Linked DNA regions of Drosophila melanogaster. The protein of the gene in region 1 interacts with the protein of each later gene in a pairwise test. Each region holds a gene or a part of one and is shown in the gene's direction. Other genes may lie near its edges.

Evidence for each region. The genes of interacting proteins can lie anywhere in the genome.
Region 2: the proteins of CG18266 (region 1) and X11L interact in a two-hybrid assay, tested with the Drosophila melanogaster proteins (one large-scale study listed by BioGRID).

The regions. Positions count from the first base shown.
Region 1 is NT_033779.5:5,595,124-5,599,156, forward strand, and holds CG18266 (uncharacterized protein), read left to right. Parts: upstream 1-1,709; 5' UTR 1,710-1,815; coding exon 1,816-3,276; 3' UTR 3,277-3,513; downstream 3,514-4,033.
Region 2 is NC_004354.4:17,597,669-17,605,616, forward strand, and holds the start of X11L (X11L), read left to right. Parts: upstream 1-1,939; 5' UTR 1,940-2,011; intron 2,012-2,322; exon of another isoform or gene 2,323-2,753; intron 2,754-3,104; 5' UTR 3,105-3,237; coding exon 3,238-3,636; intron 3,637-3,711; coding exon 3,712-4,251; intron 4,252-4,313; coding exon 4,314-4,427; intron 4,428-4,483; coding exon 4,484-5,425; intron 5,426-5,487; coding exon 5,488-5,803; intron 5,804-6,027; coding exon 6,028-6,167; intron 6,168-6,305; coding exon 6,306-6,311; intron 6,312-6,402; coding exon 6,403-6,768; intron 6,769-6,826; coding exon 6,827-7,303; intron 7,304-7,373; coding exon 7,374-7,514; intron 7,515-7,569; coding exon 7,570-7,641; 3' UTR 7,642-7,948. Other genes in the region: CG12991 (uncharacterized protein), read left to right, coding at 1-258, 343-516, 579-710.

The DNA.
Region 1 (4,033 bases):
TGAAATGTTTGTTATTAGTGTAAACAACATTTTATATATTTTCAAATGGATGTAGACTCGACGGGCCAGTCTGCGAGTGGGTCAGAGGTCACACATGGCGTATGAAATATGCGCCGCACTGGCCACAGGTAAAATTGTCACGTTTTTAATTAAACGGGCGCCCAAAGACCAACAACCAGCGCATCGTCCAATCGTTCAATAATCAATGGCTCGTCCGTGACAATAACACGGGTTAAAAATATAATTAAAACTCAAAATAAAACTTTTATTGGCTGCGTGCCTGAAATGTGTAACCGAAACATTTCATAATGGCTTAACCACTTGTCGGAATTTCATCGGCCAATGCAACAGTTGGCTCCGCCAATTCCCAGTACATTATTATCCAACAGAAAATATTTAAATACTTTAAGTCTAAGTACGTTATGGTCTCCAACGATTGCAGGGTATCGCCCAAGTCCATTAGATCTTTCGAGGGTCCATGGTTTGTTTTAAGGCGTCTGGAAACCGCCACCAGGTAGCGCTGATCAGCAATCTCGACAAGAGTATTTACCTCTTTATCTCTTGTTTTTCATATCTATATCTCAATCCAAGCAGCTGTGTAGAGGGTGTTCGATAGTCGAGAAACCTGACTTGTTTTAATTGAAATCGTGGAATACCGTGTACTTAGACCTGCAGCTTACAATAATTAATCGATATTGATTTTAAGCCAGAGTCCTTTCACTGTAGTTTTTTATTTTTGGCTAGCGGCTTTAAAGCAGCTTTATCTTTGACCTGATTCTGGAAATGGAGCACTGAGCCTATTGTAGATGACACACGCAACCACATACCCAGCCACGCCCACTTTTTGACAAGTCATTTGGCAGGTCGTTGAAAAAAGGGCCAACTTAATTGTGTCACTCACCGTTCAGCCTTAATTTGAGAGCCAAGATGATGGTGAACGACGATACAGCAATTAACGAGGTACAAAATCATTTCATTGTGTTTGCCAAACGCCGCGACCCAGAGCGCCCAAAAGCCAGCGGCGATAAGTTTTTTTATTACACCTGAGTCTGGGGGAGGAACCCAGGTGAGCTCCACACTATCTCAATGTGCGTGTGTGTGTATGTGTGCCAGGACTCATTAAAAACGAAAGAGACGCTCATTACCTGGCCAAGAGCAGGCAGAGAAACAAACGAACTCGCCGCCCTCATAGGACAACAAACGATTTTTGAGCCGGCGACTTTTCGCTCCAACACCCCAAAATTCACCCGCTGAAATTGAGGTTTATGTGGATGAGGATGCGTGTGGTGTTGGGTTTTAATTACCTTTGGTTTCATCCTTCGCGCCGTCATTCGGCTCGTTGTTTAAGTAATTGTTTGCCATTAGTTAAAATGTTTTCATTTTGCACCGGACTCGTGCCCGGACCGGACGCACATACGTGTGCATGTGGTATCTGGTGATGGCGGAAAAGATATCAAATTTGTAACCTGTCAGAGCGGAAATTCAATGAATTTCCATTTTCATATTTAATGATTTCGGTTTCTTAGTTAAACGTATTAAACAGAATGTTAAAATGCAGTCTCTCATAAAAACACTAACGAGCTTTACACTTTGGTATACTTAGATGTGACTCTAAATGGAATATTTTACTCTATTTTTCGACCACAGCAATCGGTGAACTTACGCTTTGATTGTCAGTCGTTGTGTACATTTTATGTTTCAGCAGTCTACAGACACAAAGCCGACACGACATATCGTCTCGAAAACTCGAGAGAAATCTTTCCCAATTCAATTTCCACATCCCCCACTTTTGTCGATCTTTCGCAGACTGCCGGAATGGCCTTTGTAGCGCGTCGGAGTAGCGATGGCTCGGTGGTGGATCGTCAGCAGGTGTCTGGTCGGGAAAAAGTACGTCCAGCTTCCCAGTCGGACATTAGTGATGAGGATTCGGAGTCGCTGCTGGGCTATACAAACCACACCTATGGGGCTCCCACAGTGAGGTATGTTGGCCAGGGTGAAGATCGTGAAGCGGTGGAACCTCAGCTAGATTATGAGGATTTTGGGGATTCTCTGGGGGATCATGCCGACAATTCGGAAAGCGAGACGGATTCCATTTTGAGTTTCTGCAAGGAACTGGATGAGGAGGAGGCCAACGATGCATTGCTAAATGGCAGAATGAGCTTCACAGACGAGAAGGCGAAAGTTGAGGATAAAGCGAATGCAGATGATGTGTTTCACCGGGTCATGAACAAAGGCGATGAGGCGGCTGCCACGGACACGGAGACCGTGATGAACTTTGATCACGATGTGCAGAGCCTTAGCTCCTTAGGCAGCTGCACGCCAACGGTGACGCAACGCGGTGAGGATGTCGACAATTTGGACAATATCAGCGGCAGGACATTTTTCAAGGAGGAAAAATCGCACAGCATTAACACCAGGACCTTTTGCAAGGATAACAATCTGGATGCGCTGAGCGGCAGGACCTTCTACAAGCAGGCCTCCGTAAAGGAGACTAACCAGGGCCAGATTTCCAGTCGGACATACAGCCTGAGTAGCTCGGGCAACAATCAAAACCATGACGCATCCTCGATGTCCACCTGCAGCTGGTCGGACATGTACCGCGGTGCTCTGCAGTCCACCGATGGATGCACCGGTATGCCCCCTCTGAGCCTGGCCAGCGTCGTCTCTGACTCGTCCACGTGCTACAAGCAGCTGGAGGAGCATAAGGAACGCCCTGGCCCGCAGGCCTTCGAGGACTGGAAGGCGCGAAAGGCCGCCGAGAAGCAGAAGAATCTGCTGGCTGCCAAACAGGAGCGCGAAAAGCGGGAGGCGGAGGCAGCACTGCGACAGAAATATGCCCAGGAGCACTTCCAGGAGTGGTGTCGTCGCAAGGAGGAGCAGCAGCAGCAGCAGCGGCAAAAGCAAAAGAAATCCTCGACCTCTAGCTCCAGTTTGGGATCGGTTTCCAGCTCTAGCACCGCCCCTACAAGGAAGGTGTCTCCCGAGAACACAAAGAACCGTCTGCAGAAGTGGGAGCAAGCCAAGCGGGAGCAGCAGCAACAGGAAAAACAACGCCTGATCCGACTGCAGTGCAACAAGCAGAAACTGGAGGAGGAACGCCGTCAGCGCCGCCAAGGCGCCTGGCAGAACTGGATGAAACAGGTGGACAAGCGGGCCAAGCCGGTTCCCCTCAATCAGGGCTTTGACACGCTGCGCGGTACCATATCCAACATCTACATCAATCCCGTGCAATGGGTGTCCAATATCGATCCGCAGGATTCGGGGCGCAGTCGTTAGAATTCCTTGGAGCGCTCTCACATTCGTTAGTCCATCGCCATTTCACGCTGAAATGCATGCAAGACCTATGGGGACGACTGGTGCAGGAGGACGGGAGGAGATCGCCTCGGTTGCTGGGCCCGCAAAATGATTTTAATTCTACTACTACACATTATACACGAATTTTGATTAGTGGCGGTGGATCCCACTTTGTTTTACCTTCGCAAGTTACTCAATAAACTACAAGATCGGCAGCTTTAACTGTAGTTTGGTTTATATTATATATCTCTTGATAGCCAACAAACAAGAATAGTTATTAATAGTTATTAACAAAATGTTTCACGCATTTCTAAATATGACAATTAAAATCGTAGAAGTGAAAGAGCTCATATTTGTGGATAGTGCGAACCCATTGCGAGAAGGTTAATAAAAGGCCAGCTTAGTGAAGCGAACCCGTAACGATAACCTTTGACCCGGGTGTATTATGGTTATGCTCCTCCACCACCCTTGGCCCAGAGCCTAAGGACACTGCACTTCCTTGTTGGCCATTCTGTCCCTTTATTCTGGCAACCATTTCCGTGTTTGTTTCAATGCCCATCCCATCCCATTCCATACTATCCACCCACAATTGTGTGCGTTTGTGTCAATTTCTGTTTTTATTATTTATTTGCCCGGTCCATGGGGAGTCGGCAGGTGGTGGAGCAGGCTTAATTAAGCTTTACTCCACCCACCCGGACCGTCCCAGTTTTATTTATGCAATTAACCAAAGCCTCGTGTA
Region 2 (7,948 bases), on another chromosome or scaffold:
TTCACCCTGGAAAATGCCAACAAGGAGGATGAACTTAGGCGTGCCGAAAGCGAGCATAGATCGCGAAAATCGAAGGTTCTATCCGCGGAGTATAAGCACATCAATCGCTACATCAACTTCTCCGGCGACACCAAGAGTCTTCTGACCAGATCCGCCTCCGCGGCGCCCAGCGTGGCGGGGGGCGTGGCCGGATCCGGGTTCTACGACGGAGGCGTCGGCGACGAGGGCAATATCTCATCCGAGGCACTGGCCATTCAGGTAGGTGAAAACTAATCATTGCTAAATTCGATATCATTTGAAAAATTGGTTTCAAAAGTAACATGCTTTTTTTTCCATTTCCAGCGAACGTACTTCCTGGATGCGGGTGCCATTTCGGCGATTTGCTTCACTGTCTTCGGCGTCTGCTGCACAGTGGGCACCATTGGGATCGTACTGTACCGTCGTCGGTATCTGAACAAACCGCAGGCGCTCAGCGAACCAGACTCGAGTGTCTATATCGATGATAGCACGATGCGGGTGAGTGTAAGGATTCGTTGACCAATTGCCAGTGGCGCTTGAATGTCCTATGCACTAAATAGTTCTCTCTCTTGATTTTGCAGGACAATTCGGATGAGATGTACAGCCTGGACAACGACTCGTTTCTCAATTCGCTGGAGGCGATGACAATACAGAACTACTGGACGGATACGGTCAAACATACAAAGCTTTAATCTCCGGCCTTCCCCGTTGGAAGTCCAATCCCCTCTATCATTTATTGTACGTCTTTGGTTCGATTTCGATTACGATTCTGTTTCGTTTCGCTGTTAAAATTCCATTCCTGATTTGACAACCAGACATCATAATCATTAAGTAGCGTAGTTTTTAAGCGCGTGTATGTATTTACTAATGTTAGGCAACCAAACGAGCAACTAGTTTAAGCCCAAAACTACCAAAATTATGTTTAGTGTACGTGTAGATCCTAAGTGCGCAATGTTTTTGTTGGCCTTGACTGTTAGTTAAAGCCTTTCCCTAACAACTTCCCCACTAACCCGATTTTTGTAAACCAACCCATTGTACTCGTATCTGTTAGTTAATTATTAAACCTTATTTATATTGTTGACTATTTTATCGCCCTTCCCAACCCAAGTCTAATTTTAGAAAACACTATTTATTAAGTTTCCAACTTTGTGTCCAACAATTAAATGCAATCATTCCTTCCAGTTTAGCCTATAGAGCAACTTTACACTGTAATTAATGTATTAAAAGCGAAGCAAGCAAACAACAATTAAAAGAAAACATCACACAACCACACACCGGTGTTGCTAGAATTTTTGGGAAAATAATCCGTGTCTAATTCCTAACTTAATTCATTAAGTTTTCGATGGAAAAACAAAACTTGCTGTTAAAATTTTAATTGCTTGATAAATCTTGAACGAACGAATTATTATCACTGAAATTCTGGCAAGACTGCAAGAAATTGTTTCAATATACACAAATATATAAAACGAATTATAAGCTAACGAAGAACAAGAAAAACTGTTTACTGCCACACAATCCTTGTCAATTTTGCTCATCGAACTTTTATACACCACTTGTACTTGTACTATCCGTTCGAATGTTGCAAATATTAAACGAAAAACAAAACCCAGATGGAGTACATTAATCATTAAATGCTAAACTGATATTATTCGAAAAAGTGTTATCAATTGGCGCGGGAAATTCATCGTACAAGGAGTGTTGGAAAAGTAGACGGTACCGCGTAATTAGGGCAAGGTACAGGAGAAAGGGTAAAGTCAAGTAAAGCTGGGGTGGAGAAGGAAACATATTTAAATATGTTTAAAATGGCTTTTAGCACCTACTTAGGTACGAATTGAATAGTACCCTCTAACGCTGCTCAACACTGTCCGGCTGTTCGCTGTCGATAGCAATCGATAGGCCATCGATGTTCTAGCAGAGACTATCTATATTGCTGCCAATCGCTCTGCGCCAATCGAGTTGCTGAAGGAGTAGTGCAATAAATATGAATTAAATGGTAAATATAAAACCGCGACAGGTGTTGTTTTCGTGCCTATTTGCTGGCCGTGTTGTTGTTGCCGCCGTTTCAGTTGTTGTTGCTCGAGTGCGCTGCGTGTGTGCGTCGTTATGCGACGAGTGTGTGCATGAGTGTGTTGTGTTGTGCGGTGCCCCCACCAAAAAATAACGAAACGAAAAGCAAAGGAGCTGCAAAAAAAATACGACAAATCTATTGATTTTTAACAATACGCACATGGATAGATACACATAACGGTAACGGGGAGTTTGTTTTTTTCCCACGCCTCCAAAGTGCTGAGTGATTGCAACAATCGGCGACAACAAAGGGCTAGCACCAGCACCACCATCGCCCCCTGGCACCACCCACTTGCACCACCCACCACACATCCTTCAACCTTCGCGTGGGTGGTTGTTGTGTCTGGCTGCAGCTTCCTGCGTTTGTTTTGCCTGCGCGAGGACTTTTGGAGGCCAAGTTTACGTGTGCGCAATCAACCACGGACACGGTAGCTCCGGAACTCGGAAACTCGCAAGCTCGGTCAGTGGCAACCGCGGCGGGGGGCCCTAAAAAAGGTGTCCACATATAGACACATGGACAGGCAATAGTGGGTTAATTGCCCGCATTGATTGCGCTGGCCAGCCAGGGGGTCACCACAACCAGAGGTTACCAAACCAGTGCAGCAACAAACCGAAGCTCGAAACAATGGAATACTTATTATTAGCTAAACTCAATTACATTTAACGAGGTGAGCTAGGACCTGTAATAAGATACAAATACACATGAGAATGATTAGGGAATGATTGGGGCAAACCCAATTTAAAGCAATAGGCTTAGGTCCAAAAATAACAAATCAGCAATTTTATAGATTGGCATTTTACTGTGCTGGTTCCTGTTGTCCGTATCGCGTATGTCTAAACACACCCGGTAATCCAGGTATTTCTATGTCGATTTAAATATATAGTACGCAGCGGCAAGGTATCCAGCAAAAGTACGTCATCGACACGACCACCTGTCCCTGATTTTTTTCTGGGCTGAGCTGCAGCGCAGTGAATCATTGCCGCCTTAGATCATCGACTAATCATCCATTCTCCCCCAGGCAGTGGCCCACAGTGAGGCAGCAATCGCAGCAGCAGCAGCGGATGCAGCAGCAGCAGCACTAGAGCAGTAGTTGTAGTAGTATCGAAGCCGCAGTCCCTCATACCTGGAGAATCAAAGTTGTTGGTGCAGCCATGAACTCAAACTCCTGCAGTGACAGCAGTAACGAGTCCATGGTCAATCCACCGCACATACAGATGAACTTTGGCCAGCAGGCGCAGCAGCAGCAATCGCATCAGCACCAGCAGCAGCAGCAGCAGCAGGAACGTTATGTGTGGGAGATGCGAACCCGTAGCCCAAATGTGACGCCAGCCAGCACGGTGCTCAATTCGCCGGATCTCAATGGCGAGCTGTCCTACGTTCCGCTGCAGGGTCTTTCGCCATCGGGCGGAGGTGTTCAGGGATCCGGCAGCTATGGTTCGAATGCGGGACGCGATTCTGGCAGCTATTACTACCAGCGACCGCAGTTGCATCAAATCCGACTGGGTAGGAGTCCGGGCAGCCAGTTTGAGACACGGGATGTCCTGCCACAGGTAATTTAACTTGGAGAATTACTTAGAGGCGTAGTTTCAGTCACTACAATGAGATTTTTCTGCTTTTTCTTTAAGGGATTGGCCAGCCCCGGCTCACCAACGGATGTGGGCAAGGCGGACGGTCAGTGCCTGCGTGATGGTGAGATCGTGGTGTTCGACGACATTGACACAAACTGGATGAACAAGGCATCGAGTGGCCAGCGTCCAGGCAGCAATGAGGATGTCCTCAAGGTGACCAAAATGATTGGACAGCTGCCAATAGCCGAGTACGAGGGTTCACCGCGACGATTTGGAAGTCAACCGAATACAAATACCATTACCATGGGTGGTCCTAGAAAACGTCCGCCGGGTTTCCCGCAAAGAGTTTCGCCCACCACCAGTGTCGCTAATAATGCAACTGCTGCAGCTAAAGCATCCGTGGGCAACCTTATCGATTTGGTCGACCACGAGGAAGAGCGTTCCGGGACGCTTCGCGAGAAAACACCTACTTTCGACTACCTGTACGAATTCTCAGAGACCAGAAAGGTGCTGGAGGAGTTCTTCAAGGCGAATCCGGAGGACGAAAAGCGGTACACGGATTACACCACGGAAAGTGGAGACGATGTCGCTAGCTCGGTGAGTACTACTACTTCCAAGAAGCCTAGAAACCCATTTAATATTGCATTTTGATTGACTAGCAGCCACAAGAGTACCCAGCCACGCCCATGGAGCAGGCATATATAGGACAGCGGTTGGCGAGAATACCTAAAGATGAGCTCTACATGGTTCACCGGTCGCCTACTAAAAAGCCAGTGAGTCATAACGAAATGAAATTCATTAAAATAGCTAACGATTGTTCGATTTCTAGCCCAGTGACCAGAATCCATCGACGGCCTACCAGGAGCATAATGATATTGAGCTGTACATTGATTCGAATAGCCGAAGCAGCGGCGATTTGGCGGACACCGAACTGGAGGCAAATCTGCGCCGACACTCCCGAAACTTTACCCTGTCTCCCGAGACGACGGATTACGATTCGAATTGCGGTGATTTGGACAGTCTGTCTAACGACATTAACTGCCCCACGGATTTTGGTAAACTGTATACGAGCATGCCTGTCCTAGAAGATGGCCTGAGCAGTGGCCACGCCTCCGACACGGAGAACAACGTATCCGTGGTGTGTGACAAGCAGCAATCGTCCCAATCTCAGCCCGTCCACGAGCACAACGGTAATGGCGAGCGGCTGGAGAACGACTACAATGTGATGAGCGCCAGCTTGGCCACATTGACCACAGATGCCTCGCAATCGGCGCTGATAAGCGACTTCGCCTCACTGCCCATGCCCCCGGCTCCGCCTCCATCATCGCCGCCCCAAATCGAGATCGCCGATGCAAGTGAATCCATGACCATGGTCCCAGATGCTGATAATCCACTGGACAGTCACTACGGTGCGGTTTATGCAGCAGCTTTGGGAGGTACTCACACAGAGAAGTCAGCGGGATCAGGACTGGGGGTGACACCAGTAACTGCGGGAGGATCTTTGCCATCGCAGGCTGCTTCGGAAATCCAGGAGGCCATGAAGGAGATACGTTCCGCCTTGCAGCGTGCTAAAACGCAGCCTGAAAAACTAAAATTCTGTGACGAAGTGCTGCCCACGGATCCAGATTCACCGGTTTGGGTTCCACGCAAAGGGACGACGATCTCGACGGCCCAAGGTGCGGCGGCGGATGAGGAACCAGACACCGACCTTGAAACAGATCGTCTATTGGGTCAGCAGAGGCACGATGAGCAGGATTTCTTCGCCGATCAGGTGAGGAATGCAAACTTACAGAGATATCAGCTCAAAATAATTACGAAATAATAATTTTACAGAGCCTGGCTGATAACAATGCCAATGAGGGCACGGATATTGCCAGCAATGGGCATCTAAATGGCACGTCGGACAACAACAATCCGAATCCTATGAATAATAGCAAGCCGCAAACCTACTCGACGGCCACCATTCGACAAGGCATCGGCACCTCGTTGACACCCAATTCGCCGGACATCTGTCAGATTGTGGGCACGACCGACATCTCCATAAGCTCGCCGGAAAAACTGCAGTTCACCAAAAGTCCCACGGGCTCTATTAAATCCCTGAAGGACTCTGCCAACTCGGACAAGAAGGCCAAATCGCGGAACAAAGAGGGTAAGTTAGCACAGTTGTCAACGCCCCTTGTTGTTCGTTTACTGATATGGAAACCGATTCAACATTTCACGCTGCAATTCAAATCTATTTAATGCTGACATCACGTAAGTCTCTGTTACCCAGCAGATGTTTAGGTTTATTAAACTACCCTTATGTGTATTAACAATCAGAAATGAAGACCATTAACGCACTTCGTAACTAATTTAAATAATGTTCGTTCTTAGGTCTCTTGGAACCCAAAGTTCTCATTGAGGGCGTGTTGTTTCGGGCCAGATACCTTGGATCCACTCAACTTGTCTGCGAGGGTCAGCCGACCAAGTCGACCAGAATGATGCAGGCCGAGGAGGCCGTTTCCAGGATCAAGGTAAGTGAAGTGAAAACCTGGTGATGCACACGAAAGCACATCCATTCAAGGAAACCCCGCTAGGTTATGCTCTATGTGTGTGTCTAAAAACTTTCTCGTTCGCTTTTCTCGTTCCCTGCTGCGCATTCCTCTCGATAGGCTTTGGTAAGCGTTCGTTAGCCCCTTTCAGTCGTCAAATGATAGCATTAAGAATTAAATGCATTATATAATATATGATTTGCTATTTTTTTACCAGGCTCCCGAGGGCGAAAGTCAGCCGAGCACTGAAGTGGACCTGTTCATATCAACCGAAAAGATAATGGTGCTTAACACGGATCTCAAGGAGATCATGATGGACCATGCGCTGCGTACTATATCCTATATAGCTGACATTGGCGATCTGGTTGTGCTGATGGCTCGTCGTCGATTCGTACCGAATAGTGTTGTGGATCCATCGATCACCAGTCCATTAGGTGATGTTCCCACTCCGGGCATAGGCGAGGAGGAGTCGCCCCCCAAAGAGCCACTCAGCAAGCACAATCGCACGCCCAAAATGATCTGCCACGTGTTCGAAAGCGATGAGGCGCAGTTCATAGCTCAGTCCATTGGACAGGCCTTCCAGGTACGCGAATATTAATAATATTATTGGCACGTATAATTAACAATCAAAACCTAACCAGGTGGCCTACATGGAGTTCCTGAAGGCGAACGGCATCGAAAACGAGAGTCTGGCCAAAGAGATGGACTACCAGGAGGTGCTCAACAGTCAGGAGATTTTCGGTGATGAGCTGGAGATCTTTGCCAAAAAGGAGCTGCAAAAGGAGGTAGTTGTGCCGAAGGCGAAAGGCGAGATCCTAGGCGTGGTGATCGTAGAGAGTGGCTGGGGATCCATGCTGCCCACCGTGGTGATTGCCAACCTGATGAGTTCAGGAGCAGCTGCCCGCTGCGGCCAGCTGAACATCGGTGACCAGCTGATCGCCATTAACGGCATGAGCCTGGTGGGACTGCCGCTGTCCACCTGCCAGAGCTACATACGCAATGCCAAGAACCAAACTGCCGTCAAGTTCACCGTTGTGCCCTGTCCGCCTGTCGTCGAGGTTAAGATCCTGCGTCCCAAGGCGCTGTTCCAGTTGGGTTTTAGTGTTCAAAATGGCGTGGTAATTATAAAATGCTGAATTTATTCTTCTTATTCTAATCCTTCTAATCATATGTATTTATTTAATGCAGATCTGCAGTCTTTTGCGTGGAGGAATCGCTGAGCGGGGTGGAGTACGCGTAGGCCACCGCATCATTGAGATTAACAACCAGAGCGTTGTGGCCGTGCCACACGATACCATTGTCAAGCTGTTGTCATCCTCAGTGGGCGAGGTATGACGCGTTTTTAAATTCGTTATTCTTATATTAACAATACCTTTCCAATCAGATCCTGATGAAGACAATGCCCACGTCCATGTTTCGTTTGCTCACCGGTCAAGAGACGCCAATCTATATATAAATATATATGCAACTGTTCACACGCCTACGCTGGAATCGAAAAACTATAAATTCGTCAACTGCAACTTGACCAGCTTAAAGTTACATCGATTCGCAAAGAGACCTTAAATTGGAATTTGTTTAGTCTTAAATTGTTCATTGATTATTTGTCTTTATGTATTCACATTGCAAGCATAATTGTAGTTAATTTAAATGAATTGCAAATGTATTAAGTCTACAATGAGATTAATTGTTCGTCGTCAAATCGTTCAGGTGTCCACAGCGACCACAACTGCAATAGAGAGATTACTATTACTGGAGTTACAGAA